Linked DNA regions of Rattus norvegicus. Each later gene encodes a partner of the first gene's protein in a complex. Links are inferred from orthologs where the notes say so. Each region holds a gene or a part of one and is shown in the gene's direction. Other genes may lie near its edges. The genes, in order: Ntrk2, Ntf4 and Frs2.

Region 1 (5,592 bases):
TTTGCCCACCAACAACCCCATCAACTAACTTTACTAGTGATGTTCCTTTAGGAAAGTATGATGCCTTAGCAGTCGGCAGCATCTGATGTGTTTGCACAGCTACACTAAGGGCACTGAACAGCCAAGGAGTTACAGAAGGGAGGCTTCCTTAAAAAAAGGATACGTGAATCCACCTTAAAAAAAACAAAACAAAAATAAAAACAAACAAACAAACAAACAAAAAAAAACCACCTCGGCTACAGGGAGATCAGACCTTGCAAAAAGTATGAATAAGTTTTCCCTGGGCGAGCATCCATGACTCAGCTCTCTGACTGTACATAGAACATGTGTTTGGCCATCAAGAAAACCATCAGAACAAAGTGAAATTGGTTTGTATCTGGCTCTGGGCAAGCAAACCAGTATCTTCTCCAGAGAGTGGCTGTCCTGTCGGATACTTTGGGATAATTGAATGGAGATTCTTTGCAGAGGGTGAGAAGCCATCTGGGAATGGATGATTAGCAATGCAAAGTGGTGGTTTGTAGTTACAGAACTGTAGCAAATTGGAGTATCCGAGGGCTACCCTAACCCAATGCATTTAACCAGACAGAGCACCAGGAACAGCCCAGGGTGGTTGCTAGTAAGTAACGCATCAGGAACTAGAAACAGTTACTAAATCACTGGTCTCAGGGTTCCTCTCTCCATTTGTTCTACCCGCCTGCCCACAGGGAAGGGCGCTCAGCCTGCCCCACCCTGACTCTTGGAGCATCTCTCAGCATCCCTGGCTAGTGGGCAACCAGAGGCAGAAATTCAGACTCCCAGTGCCATACTTGAAAACTATATTCAGTCTTGCAAACATTTAAGCAAGGATGTGAGGGCAGGGCGCCAAGCAGTACAGTTCAGAACAAATGGCTCCCTGTACTCTGCAGTGAGAAGACTGTAGTTCTGTATGTCCCGAAAGCCGTGGAGTGATTACAACGGAAATATGACAGTCATTTGCTGCCACGGTGACTGTTTCTTTTGTGGGTCTCTTCTTGTGGCATGCCTGAAAATTCTGAGGAAAGAGCTGCAAAGGGCTGCGCAGGGTTGTTCTAAGTGGGCCAAGAAGATTGGTGGCTCCTGCATGAACTCTTGTTAGAATATCCCATTACTCATACGTTTGAAAGCAGGAGAAAGCATTCTCTACATAACATATGCGGAATCCCCACAGAGAACCTGGAAAGAAATAAAGACAAAAGGGGGAAAATATCTGACCCGAAGAACTCAAGCAGAAAAGAAATGTCGTGATCAGGAGATGTGGCGTAGCCTTGAAGTCACTGGCAGCTGGGGAATGTGGGAGTCCCGTGTGTTGGTTCTTTCTCATAATTTAGAGAAACTAGGACACAGACCAGTGTTACTGCTGGTCAGCATTGTCCATGTTGGAGATCAAAGTCTCCTCTGATCACAAATCGGTGGTGGATACAGTATGGCATTGTGGGTACTCGAGAAAAAAACAAACAAAAAAAATGTGGAAGAGCTCTCAAAATCAGCACACCCCAAAGTTTATAGACAGCCAGCTCTAGAAGGCCACAAATACACGTTGATTTGCTCCAGTAACCAGGAAAGTTAAATCTCTACCCATTTGTTGAACCTCTCAGATGCTTGAACACGCTCTGTGATTTCAATGTCCAAGAAAGGGCAAGCTACAGGCTGGCGGGGTAGGACCCGAGGACCCTGAGGCTGCTCTTACTGCTTGGGGCTGGTGTGCAAAGTCTGACACTTCGGTTCATGCTTCAACACGCGCTGATCACAACCTGGATTATAACTTGAGTATTTCCACAGAACAAATGACTGTATCTTTTCCCCCACTAACCCCCCCCCCCCATCTAGTTCCAGGCTTTGCTGGCTCCTCTACCATGCAGTTGGTGCTTTTGCCTTTCAGGATTTCCGAGAAGCACATTTATAAATGGCTCTTACAGAAAGACCTGCAGAAGAAGTAACTGAAAGACAGGTGCCCGTCTCCAGCCCTGAGCCTTCCCGGAAATATTAGCAGACACTTGACCTTCCTGTTTGAGATTCTCCCCTTCAGATGCCTTAACACACTTAGCACAGCCACAAGACAAAGCTACAGATTGTGACTTGTCACTCTGAACGGTTCACTGTAACCCCTGGAGGATCTGTTTTTTATGGTAATGAGACATAAGGACAGACACACAAGGGAGGCTGGGGTACTCTTGGCACTTGCTAAGGCAAACTAATCAGGTAGGAGTGCTTTTTTTGATGAAAAGAAAGAAAAGTTGCAGTTGGTAAGACAAGAGTAAGATCTGGGATGGTTAACCCCTTTGACCTCCCGTCTAAGCACTGTCCTATGTAGAGCTGTATTTAGGGCCTCATGAGGCCCAGCACATTTATGCTGTGTGAATGAGAAAGGCCAGGGGAGACAGCCAGGCCTTAGAGTTGTCTGCCCCATGTGTCAAGGCTAACCAGCGGTGCAGTCTCACGTGTGTTCGATGGGGAAAGGGCAGACGTCCGTAAACCGTGGAAAGCTTTCAAAATGTGTTCTGAGGGAAGACCACGCACGGAGGAGGCAGGACTGCTGCACGACATGAGGAGCTACTGGAAAATGCGTGTGCCAGGGTTCTCTGACCTTTCTGGACTATGGCTAGGGGAGGATGGGTATCAGGCTTGGGAAGCATCAGAACCAGTCTTCACTCTGCTGTGGCTAAGGCCACCAGGTCCTGGGACGTCATTTACCCTCAGGCCACGAGTCCTTCCGAGCACTGGGAAATGTTGGGCCTTCCATGAACTTCAGCGGTTACTCATTGTCTGAGCGGTCGGTCAGCTGAGGACTCACAGTCAGGCTACACCACACTGCACTGTACTTCCTCCTGGTTGGGCAGGATTTGTGCCCCCATGGTTTATGGCCCTAGGAGGAAATGACAGCAGACCCATGGGCAGGTTCATCTCCTTTGTATAGAAAGTCACAAACCCATACTGAGAATGGAAGCTGGGCGGTGCCTCTAGGAGCTGTCCATCTTGAACCATGTCTAATTCAGGCCCTTGAGTGTCCCTGCCCATGGCCTCAGTAGTGCCAGGGTGGCTGTCAGTCAAGTTTCTGTGGTTGCACAGATGCTATCTCCAGGTGACACTGGGCTTCTGTTTTTACTAAAATGGGTGTTTTTCTTTGAAAAGTAAATTTATCCATGAGTCGCATCACCCTATCATAGATGAGACTCTAAAGTCTCGATACAAAACCTCAGTTGTTTGTCAGTAAAATGGGAATACTAACTTCCATCCTGGGCACCGCTAGGCTGGGATGAAGAACCCTTTGCTTGTTACCTTGGTCAAAATTATCACATTGATTAGTGGATGAATGGATGGGTTGATTCTCCCACCGAAAAGTGCACAAGGGCTTTCTTAAATCCAAAATGGACATCAACTTAATGCCCTCTGCTCTCCTCTGGCTTCGAGAAGAGGAGAACTGCAAATGACATTTATAACATTGTCTCCACCATTCTCTACCCTCCGACTCCATTACCTCGGCGCCCCTTGAGGGAGCCACCTCCCCGTGGCCACCCTCCACACTGGTTCCAGATGACTGACCATCCTATTGATGCCTCCCCTGACAGGTTGGTGGCCACACAATGTTGCCCATCCGATGGATGCCTCCAGAGAGCATCATGTACAGGAAATTCACCACCGAGAGTGACGTCTGGAGCCTGGGAGTTGTGTTGTGGGAGATCTTCACCTACGGCAAGCAGCCCTGGTATCAGCTATCAAACAACGAGGTGGGCAGTTGTCTGGGAGAGATCCCACCCTGCATGCATACACACACACACACACACACACACACAGAGAGAGAGAGAGAGAGAGAGAGAGAGAGAGAGAGAGAGAGAGAGAGCTGGGAACCAGGACATGGCCACTTGTGGCTTTGTTTGACTCAACAGCTTCCCCAGAGACTGACTGGAGAAAGAGAGTCACTACCTTTTCTGACCCAGCCTCGCCCCTTCTAAGGACAGGGCCGAGGGATGATTTTACATTGCTCACTGTCCAACAAATCAAGGGCAGCCTCAGTGGCCCGTGCTCCTCAGTCTGGCCGGAGTTCCTGCACTGTTCCAGAGAAGTCGCCACGCCCTTCCCCTTTGCAGATTCTGCCAGAACCCTAACCACTAAATGAAAAAAATCTCAAGCAATCTGTTTGCCTATTCTGATTCCTTTTCGAAATATCATAACCCATTGAAATTCTGAGAACCACACACAACCCCAGACCAAATTTAGAACACTCAAATTCCTAATACCCAACGATAATGTCCGATCCCCCAAGCCACCCTGGTATCTTCTTTCATGTGGGTCATCTCCAGCCTACAGCAACAGTACACTATGGGAATAGCAAGCACGCAGTGGGTCATCTCCAGCCTACAGCAACAGTACACTATGGGAATAGCAAGCACACAGTGGGTCATCTCCAGCCCACAGCAACAGTACACATTAGGAATAGCAAGCACACAGTGGGTCATCTCCAGCTTACAGCAACAGTACACTATGGGAATAGCGAGCACACGCAGTGGGTCATCTCCAGCTTACAGCAACAGTACACATTAGGAAGAGCAAGCACACAGTGGGTCATCTCCAGCCTACAGCAACAGTACACATTGGGGATAGCAAGCACACAGTGGGTCATCTCCAGCTTACGGCAACAGTACACATTGGGGATAGCAAGCACGCAGTGTGTTTAGGGAGTAATGACAAGAGGAACATCTGCATGTGCCCAGTATGGGTGTCGTTCTCCTCACGGATTCCCAGTCTGCTGCTGTTTGGGTGCACGTCTGGAGCCCGTGGATACCGAGAGACGGCAGCACGTCTGTGTGACGTGTAGCACTTCTGTCAGGTGTCTCCAGTCTCTCTCACATCCATGCGTTTTTAAACCCAGCCCTGATAACCAGTGATCCTAATCACTTCTGCTGTCAGGGTGTCCCTGTCAGTCCTCACTTCACACAAAACTCAGGCTCTACCCTTACTCAGTAAAACCCAGAATTTCTGTGTGGAATTCAGGTGACCCTTTGTGAATAAATTGTGCCTATACCAGTTTTGTGAAATCATAGTGGCTCTCCTCCTTGTGAGAAAACAGCGAGAGGGCTTCCTCTGAGGCTGAGGCAAGAGGGTCATGAGTTCAAGGCCAACATGGGCTACATAGCAAGACCACACCTACAAACGAAAGCCTTTTCTGTTGGTAAAGGGTTAAGAAGATACACATGCTAATTGTCCTGACCTAATCAGCACACACCAGTGTCCCTGTAAGCACAGATTATCCAGAGATAAGCGTTGTGATCAGGCTTGACTTTCAAAGAGTGAAAGAAAGGAGAGGCCCTTCCTGACTCCTCCCTTCTGCACTGGCCTTCCTACCTGCTTGGCTCTGGTCCTGCTAATCCTGCCCCTGGTCTCCCTCCAGGTGATAGAATGCATCACCCAGGGCAGAGTCCTTCAGCGGCCTCGCACGTGTCCCCAGGAGGTGTACGAGCTGATGCTGGGATGCTGGCAGCGGGAACCACACACAAGGAAGAACATCAAGAACATCCACACACTCCTTCAGAACTTGGCGAAGGCGTCGCCCGTCTACCTGGACATCCTAGGCTAGAC
Region 2 (6,381 bases), on another chromosome or scaffold:
TTTCTATGTTGTCCCATGCTGTAGTACAGAGATTCAGAGACTGGAGCCCCAAGGAAAGAAAACGCAGTAGGGGAAGAGTAGGTATCTGGAAAAGATGTGGCAGGAGACAGAGATCTAGAAGGAGAGAGAATGATGGAGAGAAGGAAGAGGAGAGGGGGAGGGAAGGGAAGGGAAGAAAGGATGGAGGGAGGGAGGGAGAGACAGAGAGGGGGAAGAAATCAATCATGAGAGATGGACACCCAGTGACAGATATCAGACATGCAGAAGAGGGAGGTGTGCGTGAGAGGTGGGTGTTTCGAGAGAAACCTGGAGCCCAAGGGTCTCCCTCTCTGCTCTCTGAGTCATAACAGACTCTAAGCCATGGTGTCAGCATCCCTTCCAGCCAAGGAAGGTCACCATAATCCTGGAGGTGCCCTGTGTTTCCTAGGACAGAAACCCAAGGCTGTAAAGTGCTGTGGCTTCCCCCAAGGTTACCCAGCACGTCATAGGGCCAGGGCTGGTGGCAGGTGGCCTACCTGTGACACCCCCACAACTTCTGGTATTCAGGTATTGCCCAAGGCCACTGGTCCTGTGTCTTTTGTTTTGTTTTAATCCTTTGAAACAGGGTCCCTCTATGTAGCCCTGGCTGTCCTGGAACTCACTATGTAGACCAGGCTGGCCTTGAATTCACAGAGCTCCTCCTGTCTCTGCCTCCCAAGTGATAAGATTAAAGCTGTGGGAAGGTCACCATGTCTGGCAAGACCCTGCCTCTTCTAGGAGGAAGCTGATATTGGAGGGAACAGAATTACCCTAAGCTCCAGGGAAACATTTTTGGAGTCTCCTGGGACTGAGACACATTCTGGGGAGCAGGAGAGGTCACAATCACTAACAAGAGTTCAAGGTATTTGACTGGCATTAACTTATTAAAACCTGTTCACCGGTGCCTAGTGTTGAGTTATTTTTGATAACGATGTCACCTGCTGTAGTCATATGAACTCTTGCTTAAGACCTGAAGGTGAGGCATCTTAGAGGGGCTGTCAGGAGGATTTGGCTCCTCTGAGCCATCTGAGCCATGAGCCATCAGGGAAAGGATGTGGGGAGCCATCTTCACCACCCATATTACCATATGAGAGAGAGGAAGGAGGGACAGTGGCAAGGGTGTGATGTAAAGGACATGACAGAATCTCAAGGTGGGCACAGCACTCCAACAGACCCACTGTCGCAGAAATGGAGATGGATCTGCACACAGGGACCAAAGACAGATGTAGGACACGGACACCATCACAGAATACAGGGAAGAGGTGCTGGGGGCAGAGGGGGAAGCAGGCCCTGGAGAGAAAACAGATGCCAGGCAGAAGGGAAAACAGCTCAGAGAACAGGAGAGGGAAGGGAGGGGAGGAGAGAAGGAGAGGGAGGGAGAGAGGGGGAGAGTCAGAGAGAGAAACGGAGACAGAGAAACAGACAGACAGACCGACAGACAGAGGGAGAGAGAGAACCAAGACAAAAGACAGACTTTCTCCCTCTTTATAGCCTTCTCCCTTGATGCCCAGAGACTGGAGTTGGGGCCCCTTGGGAGGGATGGACAGTGTCAGGAAAGAATGAAAGGTCAGAGAGGTGACCCAAATGGACACCCAGACTAGGAAGTGTCCCATCCCACTGCCAGTAAACAACTGGAGTGGGGTCTGAGTCACCCTGGCTGGGATGGCACCTTGAGGGGAACACCCTAATCCGGGGACACCCTTCCTGCCACTTTGCCATGCTATATTTAGGTTGGGGGGATGGGTGCTGGGTGACCCCCCCAAAGGCGAGTGTCAGCTTTCCTCCTAAATATAGCTCGGGGGTAGGGGAACTGGAGTCCTAGAGTGGGGGCATGGCAGAGGAAAGGGCCCTGCCACCCTGGGGCCCTTCTGTTGCAGGCACACTCTGCTTGAGGTCTCTTCAGCATCCCGCCTTTCGTTCTGAGGTCCACCCGTTGGGGTGTTTTCCTCCTCCTAGGGCTGTCTCTCTGGCTGGGTTCCCCCCCCCCCCCCGTCTTCCTTGTGGTCACAGCTGTTTCGCTAGGGAGGTCACAGTTCTGAAAACCCATCATGGTCTCCTCGCTCTAATTACCTTTAAGTTTTCTTATCCACCCCAAGACTTCCTGGTCCCCGGCCAAGAAATTCCAGGATAGAAGACTATGTGGGGGAGCCCGGACAGTCACTGTCTCCAAGAATTGAGCCTTATCACTGCACAAGCCCAGCTGGCTAATGTCTGGCTGGGAGACCCAGAAGGGGAGACAGGAGCGGAGGGTGGGAACCTGCACTAGACACCATAGCAATTCCAGGCCTGAATCCAGGTCTGAAGGGAAGGGTTGGGGTTCTGAACACTGAGTCCAAGGGAGGAGGACTGGGGTCTGGACCCCTGTGTCTGAAGGAGGGCTGAAGCCTGGACCTTCGGGTCTAACGTAGGAGGGGTTGGGTGTGAACCCCAGTGTCTGATGGAGGAGGGTTACAGCCTAGACTTCTAGAACTGAAGTGGCCAAGGCCGGGCTTCCGAGGTGCCGGCCCGCGCGTGCTAGGCGGGATCCGCCGCCCCTCCTCCGCCGTCGGGCGCCGCCCCGCCTCCTCCCAGACCCAGGCCCTCCCAAGCGCAAACGGCGAGCAGCCGGCGAGCAGCGGGCGTCCGAGCTGCTAGCGAGCCGGAGGAGGAGCCGCAGCGGCGCCAGGGGCAGCCGGGGAGCAGAGAAGGGCGCCCCAGGTAAGAGCTCCGCGCCTCCTCTGGCAGATTCGGTCCAGGTCGCCCGGCCCCCGGGTAGGGAGGGACGGGGGCGGGGCCGACGGGGGCGGGGTTTGGCGAAGGAAACTGAGGCAGGACGGAAGTCTCCCAGAGTTGGAGCGGGTCCCCCTCCAACCGACTCAAGAGCAGGGACCCCCAGCCCAATTTTCTTGGATGTGAAAGCAGGGAATCTCCATTTATGAGTATCTTGGAGGAGGGGCCGCAACCCTAGAACCTGTGGGTCTGAGGGAGGAGGCGTCTGAAGTCCAAGAAACTTAGTCTGCAGGAGGAGGCATCTGGGGAACCAGGTCACCCTCGCTGAGGGAGGATGGTTCAGGGGCCTTGGGCCCCTGGGTCTGAGGAAGGAGACAGCTGTGGGCCTGCACACAGTCTGACGGAGGAGGCAGCGGGCACCCTCACTCCCTGTAGTGGTGTGGTAAACCTCTGCCCCTGATCACACTCAACACTTCCCATTCCCCCACCTCGGAGCCTGGCCAGCCAGACACTCCAGGTATGCGCAGTCGGAGTCTTGGGCGGGCCCTGGCCTGTCCTGCGAGGAGCGAACATTCCAGGAAGCAGCCTCAGGGACCCAGAGCGTGGGTCGGCGGGGACCCGGGTGTCCAGGCCAGCTCCACCCCCGCCGCGTTTAGTAGAGGAACGGGAGGAGGGGATGTAATCTCTTCCAGTTGCCTCACCTGCCCCTCCTCTCTGCCCCCATCTGCTTCCCATCCCTCCAAAGCTGTCACCTGCACGGGGGAGGGGGGGCGTCCTCTGGAGGTGGGCGGAGCCTCTACTCCAGGGTACCCTAGGCTTTCAAAGACTCTGGAAAGATATCTTTTTATGGAGCGGTTGCACCCTTCCCCCTACCGCCTATGTAACTGGTTTCCTTCCTCCCACAGGTGGTTGCCCCCTCCTTCTCCTGAGATGTCAGGGAGGAGACTACCTGTATCCTACACAGGGGCCCCACACAGCCTGGGGGCCCCCAGCCCCAGAGTGAGGAGGTGGAGGTGCTGTTGACAGGTCTGGTATTCATTCACCTGCTGCTTTCCAGTCCTGGCCCAGCTTCTAGAATGTTCTAGTCTCTCCATCTCCCTCCCAGCATCTCCCAGCAGCCGAGTCAGTCTCATACTCAGGGAAATTAAAGCCTTGAAAACCGCAGGATTCGAGGGCTCCTTCAGGTTATAGGACCACGAAGGCCAAGTGGCATTGCACAGAGTTCAAATCTGACCCACGCCACTTCCCCCGGCTGCGTGACCCGGTGGAAAGCATTTCTCCTTGTGTTTGACTGTACTGCCTTAGCTGACGTGGAACTCATGTAAACGGGACAGGCTTCAAACTTGTGGCCACCTTCTGCCTGTGCCTCCTGGTTGCTAAGGCTACAGGTGTGCATCACCACACCCAATTTTGTCTATTTATTTACATTAACTGAATACTTATCATTAACCTAAAAGCTAAGCATTCCACCAGTTCTAGAGCATAAGGTACCCCTAAGGTCCTCCCATAGTCTACCAAGCTGATATCTGCCCACGGGTGGGGCAGGAGGAGGGGTCCCTGACTTCTGTCACTAGTGTTGTCCTTCTCTAACAACAACCTCTTTCTCCATCTTCAGGTGTGCAAAGCCATGCTCCCTCGCCACTCCTGCTCTCTCCTCCTTTTCCTTCTCCTCCTCCCCAGCGTCCCCATGGAGCCCCAACCCCCCTCCTCCACCCTGCCCCCTTTTCTGGCTCCTGAGTGGGACCTCTTGTCTCCCCGAGTGGCCCTGTCAAGGGGCACCCCTGCCGGGCCCCCTCTCCTCTTCCTGCTGGAGGCCGGGGCCTATGGGGAGCCGGCAGGGGCCCCAGCCAACCGCAGCCGGCGCGGGGTGAGTGAGACGGCACCGGCAAGCCGCCGGGGTGAGCTGGCAGTGTGCGATGCAGTGAGTGGCTGGGTGACCGACCGGCGGACAGCTGTGGACTTGCGTGGGCGCGAGGTGGAGGTGCTGGGCGAGGTGCCTGCGGCAGGTGGCAGTCCCCTGCGTCAGTACTTCTTCGAGACGCGCTGCAAGGCCGAAAGCGCTGGGGAAGGTGGCCCAGGTGTGGGCGGAGGGGGCTGTCGCGGCGTGGATCGGAGGCACTGGCTCTCAGAATGCAAGGCTAAACAGTCCTATGTGCGGGCGTTGACTGCAGACTCTCAGGGCCGCGTGGGCTGGCGCTGGATTCGGATCGACACCGCTTGCGTCTGCACGCTCCTCAGCCGAACAGGCCGTGCCTGACGTCCAGGCTTGGGAACCGCTCAGGTTGAGGAGGAAAAAAAAAACCCTGGATGCTGAAAGGACCACAGGGATGGCTCGACTGCTCTACCGTGCCTTCTGACTGTGAACTGAAATAACCACAGAATCAAATCTCTCTCATTTTGAGAGCTCAGTCTGTGTGGAATGTATGAGGAAACCAAATGGGGTTTCAACTGATGAATAGGAGTTCTCCCGAAGGAACTTGACATTAATAATAGCCAATGTTTACTATCTACTGTGTATCAGACCTAATGTGTGACTCTGCTAACCATTTTAACATCAGAGGACCCTGACTTACCCTGGCAAGAGAGACGAGGAAAGACTACGTGAAAAATCAATGTATGAGCTGGGGCTAGGCCTCGATCAGTAGGCTGTTTCTGGTTGCCTAGCATGCACACAGTCCTGGGCTCTATCCTGAGCACCGTATCATAAACCATGCACGGTGGTACTCATCTGCAGTGCCAGTTCTTGGGAGGAAAAGACAGGTGGATGAGGAGTTTGTGGCCATCCTCAGCTACATAGGGAGTTTGAAGCCAGTCTTGTCTATATGAGGGTCTATCTTAATAAACTAAAAAGACCTGGGACTGGGTGTTATGACATGTACCTGTAGTCCTAATACTTGAGAGGCTGCAGACAGAAGAGTGCCTGGAGGTCCAGGGCAGCTTGGGTTACATACTTTTAAACTGACCTGTCTGGGGCAAGGGCAAATGGGTCATATGGGAAAACAAAAGAAGCGACTAGCCCTGGAACAGTGAGGATGTGATCAGGGAAAGGCAGTGAATTCCCCAGGAGCCTAGGTTTACCGGGGAAGTCTGACCTGACTAAGGTGTGCAAGCGTTCTGTGGAATACATCCATCCATCCTGCCCTAAGTAGTGAGCCCAACCCCACGAGGAGTGCAAGCACAGACACCTCACATCTGGAACGGCCCTTAGTCTTTTTGTTCAGCTCTGATGTGGAGACAGTCTCCTCATGCAGCTCAGTGGAGGGCAGACCTTGAACTCCCCCCACCCCACCCAAGACAGGGTTCTCTGTGTAGCCCTGGCTGTCCTGAAACTCGATCTGTAGACCGGGTTGGCTTCAAACTCAAAGAGCTGCCTGTCTTTTTCTCCCTAACACTGCCGTTAAAGGCTTATATCACCACTGTGTGGCTCGACTTTGAATTTATCTTCTGCTTCTGCCTCCCAAGTGCTTTCATTAAAATGTATGTGGTGCTGAGGATGCAATTGATCCAGGACTTCCTGCGTGCTAGGCAAGCCCTCCATCATCTGACCCCCCCCCCCCTTTAATGCTGTGGAACACATCCTCATGAAACTCAGGCTGGCCTAAAACTGGAATGTTACTGAGGATGACCTTAGTTTTTTTTCTCTTTTTAAAAAAT
Region 3 (6,403 bases), on another chromosome or scaffold:
TTTTTTTTTTTTTTACTGTTTTTCTTCAAAGAGCTAAAAACATTTTTATTCCCTCATTTCTTCTGACATTCTAGTGTGGGAAGGGCAGATTTATGATAGCATTATTTATAGATGGAGAAATTGAAAATAGAGATTAAATCGCTTACTCAATGCTGCGTGGCTGGGTGGTGGAGCCGCTGGAATTTGCTTCTCCGGGCTCCAGCCACAAAGTGGAAAGCGCAAGAGCTTTGGAATTAGGGGGATCTTTGAGCAATCCCGTTTCTACCCCGGAACAAGAATGTGGCCTTAAGTCAATTACTTCACCTCGGTCTCAGCTATTCCCATTTGTAAAAGTGAGACCATAAAACCTCACAGCACATCGAAGATTAATTTAGAAAAACGCACGTAAAGCCTCCGACACCACCAAGCAGGTCTCAAGTAAGGTTTGTTTCACCCCACCCCCACCTCAGAATCATCTGGTTTGGTGTCAGTACAAATCGAAAAGAAGTCTCCCATTAAAACTCATTTTCCCCATTTTTATCTCATGTGGAAAGAAAAGAATGAATAAGACTGCTCTAAAATGTCATTTAGTTAACGGGAAGCCTTGTTTTCTCTTCTCTTTCTTCCTTTCTTTCTTTCTTTTTTTTTTTTTCTCCTGACTACGAGTGTAGCTCAGCGGCATTTGCTTCCAATGGGCTTAGAGACAGACTTGAATCCCCAACACTACAAAACTAACACTCCTCTCCCCGCAACAAGAAGGATCCCAAGCTGTAGATTTGCCACAACTAAGAAAAGAATATGCAAAAGATAGGCTACTAGAATGCTGTAGTTCTTTAACTCCACCTTTTATCAGATGCCCTGGTTGGGGAGGAGGGACTTTTTTAAACTAGTTTTAAACTAGGATTGTTGCGTCTAATCCTAGAGTTACAGCTTTACAAGGTGTGGGCGGGGCCTGGTAATTTGCATCTTTAATAAGTTCCCAGGTGATGTTGAGCTGCCAGACCAGGGACACACCTTGAGAGGCACTACCCTGGGTAAGTGAAAGGTTGGGGATGGGGCCCAGCAATTTGTTTAACAAGCCCTCCAGGTGATTGCCATGCACTTTCAAGCTTGAGAATTGGCTGGCAGCGTGGCGAAAAGCATCTGAGAACACAGATTCACTTTTAAATCCAGGCTTCACCACTTACCAGTTATATGACAGTCTGTGATTGAGGGTTCCCTTCTCTAGGTCTCTAGGCCGTGTGTGTGTGTGTGTGTGTGTGTGTGTGTGTGTGTGTGTGTGTGTGTGTGTGTGTGTACACGCGCGCCCCCGCACGTGTGCTTGTGCCTGGGATTGGGGGTGGGTATGGGTATGGTAAATGGCTGGAGACAGCCGAAGTTTTGCCTGTGCAGGCTCAATTTTTTTTTTTTTCCTTCAGTCTACTAGGAGGCTGCTTGAACTTGAGAATTCTGGACGTATTTACAAACATTTCTGCAATTACATAAAACACAAGGCAGTGCTTTAAATAAAGCAATAGTGATGGGATTGTTTGCATCTTGAATTTGTAATAAGGGGTTTTCTTTTACCCTGCCTTTCTCAAAACAGAATGTTTTAAAACTGTTCCCTGCAGTATTGAACAGACACTATGCATGCTAAAATAACTTTTTCTTCCTTCTTCCCCCCCACCCCCATGTCTTTTTGGACAAGAATTTTGCTACATAGTCCTGGACCCTTTTTTCTGGAAACTCACTGTAAAGCCTAGGCTGGCCAGAAACTCTCCGAACTCTCCCTGCCTCAGCCTTTTTAGACTGCTGGAAATACAGAAACAAATTACCTCGCCAGGCTTGGGCCCTTTTCTTCTTTGTCGGGTTTCACTTCAGACTGAAAACCTGCCTTCAATATTTGATGCATTTCTTGATTTTGTGGCAGAGGAAATCATCTTTTAAGATGGTCTCTCTTCCCTGCCTGACATCTGGCTCTCATACTGTCTTTGGTCAGTTTCAAAAGTGCCCAGGTCTTCTCTATTGCTTGTTACTGGTTAGGTCTAAGAATTGTGTGGACTTATTCAGTCCTGGGTACTCTGAAATGTTTACCATGCATTATATTATTTTTAACTTCTACGATCCAGAGATGAACATACCCCAGGGTGAAATGTAAAGTAACAGGATTCTGGCCTTAAGATTGTAGAGCTCATCATCTCAGACTTTGTTGAAGGTGCAAAGGATGACCGATATAGGGAAATACAGTTTGGCTCCTGTCTTAGAATAATTCGAAAAAGTCTTGTTTGGGGCAAATGAGATTTCTACGAATACCACAAATTAAAGTAAAACCAAGAGCCAGCATATGTGGTAACGTTTGATACCTGGCCGGTTTCCTTCCTGGTAAGGCATAGAGAATAAAAGCACCAATTTCCAGGAGTTTGAAGGTTATTAAAAGAGTTAATGCCGCCGAAGCGCGTAATGATTGTACTCTCTACCACGCCGTAAGCCTTCCTTCCATAAATGTCAACTGCATTTTCAAGCGGGACAGAAGCGAGTAAGGATAACACCGCGGGCCAGTTGGCAAGCCGGGTGAATGCATTGGGCTAAACTAGATTCTCCGAGCTTCTGTAAAACTAGGTGGCTGGAAGGGAAAGATCCTAACAGCCGTTAAAATAAGGGGTGTCAGCCGTAGCCTGGGGCCCGCGGGACCACGGGTTAGCAAGGAGCCCGGGGGCGGGTCCGCTGGCGCTGGGAACGGAGGCTCCGCCCCTCCCGGGAGGGCTGGCAGCTCCAGCCTGGGAGCAGTTCCGGTGCCAAAACCCTGCCCTCCCCCGCTCCCCCGGAAGTGCTTGCCTAGGGTTCGGGCTGGAGAAAGGCCTGGTAGATACAGGCGCCGAGGCTCCGTCGGCTCGGAGTAGGGGGTCGGGTCGCGGAGAGAGTGAGGAGCTCTGCGGCCGCTACCCCGCGCCCTCGCAGCGCCTTCGCGCCGACGGTGAGTAGCCGGGGAAGCCGAGCGGGGCCTGCGCCGGGCGGGCGAGCCTCGGACCCGGCTGTCCACAGCAGGTTCAGCTGTCGGGGTCCGAAAAGGGGGTCGTCGGCCACCGCGGAGCGCGCGCGGCCCGCGGGCCGGGAAGAGGCGCGTTGCGGGGCCGCGGAGTGGGCGGGGCGCAGCAGGAGCGGGTTCCCGGAGCCCCGGCCGCTAAGGGGACTCCTGAGTGGGGCCGGGCCGTCCGCTCTGCTACCACCTCTTTGCTCGGGCAAGTAGGCTCGGTGCCTCCGCTGTGGGGTCTGTGCACCCGGGCGCTGGGGACCTGAACAGCAAGACTGTCCCGGACATCAGTGCCCGACTTTCGTCGCCTCTTGGCTTGGGTCTGTCCTCCCTTCCCGGCTCAGTAATTATCGTGTGTCTCCCAGGGGTGTAGTCTCAATCCGAGGGTGGGGCGCTCCCTCTGTGGATGCTGGCAATCTCGTGCGGGGCTTTTCATCTAGATCTGCGTCAGGGTCGCCAGGGTTCGATTTGGACTCGAAACATAACAGAGTCTGGATGCCTGCATAGGGTCGGTCATTGAGACTGTATGGTTCCTCGAAGGGTTTTTCGCTCACTTGAAAGTTGAAACTGTTGGGAGTTACTTCTTAAAAACAAAGGTTTGAGGAGAATCGTAGATTCATATGAGTTTCCCCGTGTTCTTGCTTACGTAAAGGGGAAAAAAAGATGCTATTCTCTAATCAGCCTTCCGAATTCCTGCGCTCATCCGAAGACACAGTTTTAAGAGTTCAGTCGGGACCTTGCACAAGTTGACTGCGAAGGGCTGGAAAATGGTATCCTTTTCTACCCCAGTTTGAAAATCTTGTAGGCACTGTTAATAAACGAAGTTTAGGTGATAAACTACCGATGAAAGGTTTATAGGAAATAATGGAGCTATTTTTCGCTTTTTTTTTGAGTTTTAAATTATAATCAGATAGTTTATTTGTTGCAGATGACCTTGTAGTGTCACGTATACACAAGTCATCTTCATGAAAGCAGTGACATTATCTGTACTTCTTATTGTGCTGACGTTAGCGTTCATACTGTTTTGTTTTTGTCTTGTCTGTGTCTCTCTCTTTCTTGTACTTATTCTCTCTCCTTGCACTACTGGAAGGGAAGATAGTATTATGAATGAGGGGAATGATCTGAAGTGACAAGTTCCATAAACTGTCTTATGCAAAAGAAAATTTATTTCATTAAAAAAGTTCTCTGTGTGTAATGCCAGAGGTTCACATTGGCTGTCTCCATAGAATAACCCATCGTTGTGATCATTATCATGATCATCCTCATCATCATTTTGAGAGAGGGTTTCCTGAGCTTGGAGCTTGTCCTTTTGGCTAGAGCCAGCAAGCCCCAGGGGCCCTCCTGTGTTTACCCCGTGTGCCCAGTCCAGGTCTAGCGGTTATAGGCACATGACCCCAGCATCTAGTTTTTATGTGGGTGCTGTAGATGCCAATCTGGGTCCTCATGCTTGTTCAGCAAGCTCTTTGCATGCAAGCAATCTCTCCAGAACCCCCAAATCTGTGTCAAGGTTGTTGACAGAAAACAAAGGGGATGCATTTTTTATGCGTGTGGGAAAATGTGAGGATAAGTTGCACAGTGTTTAGACTCGGATAGATGTGTCAGCCTCTTAGTATATGAGGTACTCAGTTGTTCAGAGCCCAAGGTTGGGATGTTGAATTAAAGTCTGGGAAATGAGTCAAGTTATGTATTTCTATTCTGCATATAGTGTATTTTGAAGGAAAACACTATAGGAGTTAATGAAAGCATAAGAAATAGGTGAAAAGCAGATACTTTCAGGCATTGTAACTTTTTTTAAAAGACCTATTTATTTTATGTATGTAAGTACACTGTCACTCTCTTCAGACACACTGGAAGAGGGCATCGGATCTCATTACAAATGGTTGTGAGCTACCATGTGGTGGCTGAGATTTGAACTCAGGACTTCTGGAAGAGCAGTCAGTATTCTTAACCGCTGAGCCATCTCTCCAGCCCTAGGCATTGTAACTTTTAACTATTGCTCAAGTCAATTCAAATGATACTGAGCATTTTCTATGCATCAGACTCTTTTAGTGAACCATGTAGGGAAAAACAAAGACAAAGCCATTATAATTTCAGATTCATGTTTTGATAATCTTCCAAGGTGTGTTGAAATCGTGAAGAATTGAATTGTACTGTCTAGGAATATTCACCCTCCTCTGAATTGGGACTTAATTTGGAGGGGGCTGTTGATCGCTTTATGAAGCATACTGTGCTAGGCACTCTTGAATCACAAGGTTAAGTTTGGCCTTTAGGAATTTGAATCTAGTGGGGATGTAAGATACTGGTATAGAAGTTTACAGTATAAATAAATATGTGTCTGGAGATGGTGGCATGCGAGCGGTGCCAAAGGAGTCACAGGCAAGATGATGGATGGTAAGCTACTAGTTAGGCTGACCCTGTTTACAACAAATGAAGACTGAAAACAAAAAGCGTATGTAAACACTTAACCGCATAGATGGGTTTATCTAAAGTTTGGGCTTCTATAAAAGCAAAATGTTTGTTCTATAGTGTAAGTCATACTTTACAACACAAAGGCACGGCAACACTTGTTAGGGTAGGTCAGTGCAATGATTTATTGGGTGCTTAGTTCTGTTATAGTTGTGTTTTCTTTTTTCTTTTTTCTTTTTTTTTTTTTTTGGTTCTTTTTTTCGGAGCTGGGGACTGAACCGAGGGCCTTGCGCTTCCTAGGCAAGCGCTCTACCACTGAGCTAAATCCCCAACCCCATAGTTGTGTTTTCTTAACAATATAGAAGCTTCTTTCTTTTGAGACAGGGGTCTCCCTGTGTAGGCATCGCTCTGAATAGTCAGGATACCATCATCTCAACTATGTCTAGTAACTCCCCCTACAGTTATGTGACTAGCAGAACTGTCTGTATTTGAAGCCACATCTGCCTTGTCAGAGAGCTGGTATTTCTACTTCATGGTGCTACTTCCCAACAAGCTTGTATTCTTTTTATTTATTGTGGTTTCTGAGACAGGGCCTCCTACATCTCAAGTAGGCCTAGGGATGAACTTGAACTTGTCATCTGCAGCCTAGCCCTCCTGCGTCTGTTTGGGAGTACAGGCATGTCCTACTCTACCTTGCTCTTAAACTGGCAATCTTAAATTAATTGGTGACTGAGGGTTAAACTCTACTGAAACAAATATTCAGGAGTAGGATTTGTGGATAAGGAAGGCCTTTCATATTAAGAGAACGACAATTTAGAGATGAGAAGGCTCATGATGTGGAGAAAAGTGTCTCAGATGACCTGGATGGTTTATTTTGGAATTAGAGATGAAGTTTGCAATTTAAGTCAAGGCTGGATTGTGGAGCATGTTTAGATGCTATATTTGAAGCTCAACACTTTGAAGAAAACAAGAAGTGTGTACCTTGCAGCAGTTTAGTATGCGGAGTGA

What was found.
Region 2: the proteins of Ntrk2 (region 1) and Ntf4 are in contact, whole or in part, in a crystal structure (PDB 1HCF), measured with the Homo sapiens proteins. The link is inferred for Rattus norvegicus from reciprocal best matches to the Homo sapiens genes NTRK2 and NTF4. Residues at the interface, in NP_001018074.1 of Homo sapiens: Phe291, Glu293, Thr296, Ser297, Asp298, His299, Cys302, Pro304, Thr306, His335, Val336, His343, Gly344, Cys345, Asn350, Thr352, His353, Met379, Gly380, Trp381, Pro382, Gly383; in NP_001382418.1 of Homo sapiens: Gly81, Val82, Ser83, Glu84, Thr85, Ala86, Ser89, Arg90, Arg91, Gly92, Glu93, Leu94, Ala95, Asp98, Ala99, Ser101, Gly102, Trp103, Thr105, Tyr135, Phe137.
Region 3: the proteins of Ntrk2 (region 1) and Frs2 are in contact, whole or in part, in an NMR structure (PDB 2MFQ), measured with the Homo sapiens proteins. The link is inferred for Rattus norvegicus from reciprocal best matches to the Homo sapiens genes NTRK2 and FRS2. Residues at the interface, in NP_001018074.1 of Homo sapiens: Pro498, Asp499, Val501, Ile503, Gly504, Met505, Thr506, Lys507, Ile508, Pro509, Val510, Ile511, Glu512, Asn513, Pro514, Gln515, Tyr516, Gly518, Ile519; in NP_001036020.1 of Homo sapiens: Val26, Asp27, Asp28, Asp29, Gly30, Tyr59, Leu60, Cys61, Leu62, Arg63, Arg64, Tyr65, Gly66, Tyr67, Asp68, Ser69, Asn70, Leu71, Phe72, Ser73, Gly77, Arg78, Ile86, Ala88, Lys90, Phe98, Gln102, Met105, Gln106, Ser109.

The regions. Positions count from the first base shown.
Region 1 is NC_086035.1:5,566,191-5,571,782, reverse strand, and holds part of Ntrk2 (BDNF/NT-3 growth factors receptor isoform 1 precursor), read left to right. Parts: intron 1-3,584; coding exon 3,585-3,743; intron 3,744-5,404; coding exon 5,405-5,590; 3' UTR 5,591-5,592. UniProt on the Homo sapiens protein: Receptor tyrosine kinase involved in the development and the maturation of the central and the peripheral nervous systems through regulation of neuron survival, proliferation, migration, differentiation, and synapse formation and plasticity.
Region 2 is NC_086019.1:105,027,393-105,033,773, forward strand, and holds Ntf4 (neurotrophin-4 precursor), read left to right. Parts: upstream 1-2,642; 5' UTR 2,643-2,715; intron 2,716-2,775; exon of another isoform or gene 2,776-3,244; intron 3,245-3,632; 5' UTR 3,633-3,753; intron 3,754-4,342; 5' UTR 4,343-4,354; coding exon 4,355-4,984; 3' UTR 4,985-5,474; downstream 5,475-6,381. UniProt on the Homo sapiens protein: Target-derived survival factor for peripheral sensory sympathetic neurons. May promote ameloblast differentiation and subsequent reduction in proliferation of ameloblasts.
Region 3 is NC_086025.1:54,675,041-54,681,443, reverse strand, and holds the start of Frs2 (fibroblast growth factor receptor substrate 2), read left to right. Parts: upstream 1-2,787; 5' UTR 2,788-2,932; intron 2,933-3,095; exon of another isoform or gene 3,096-3,309; intron 3,310-6,403. UniProt on the Homo sapiens protein: Adapter protein that links activated FGR and NGF receptors to downstream signaling pathways.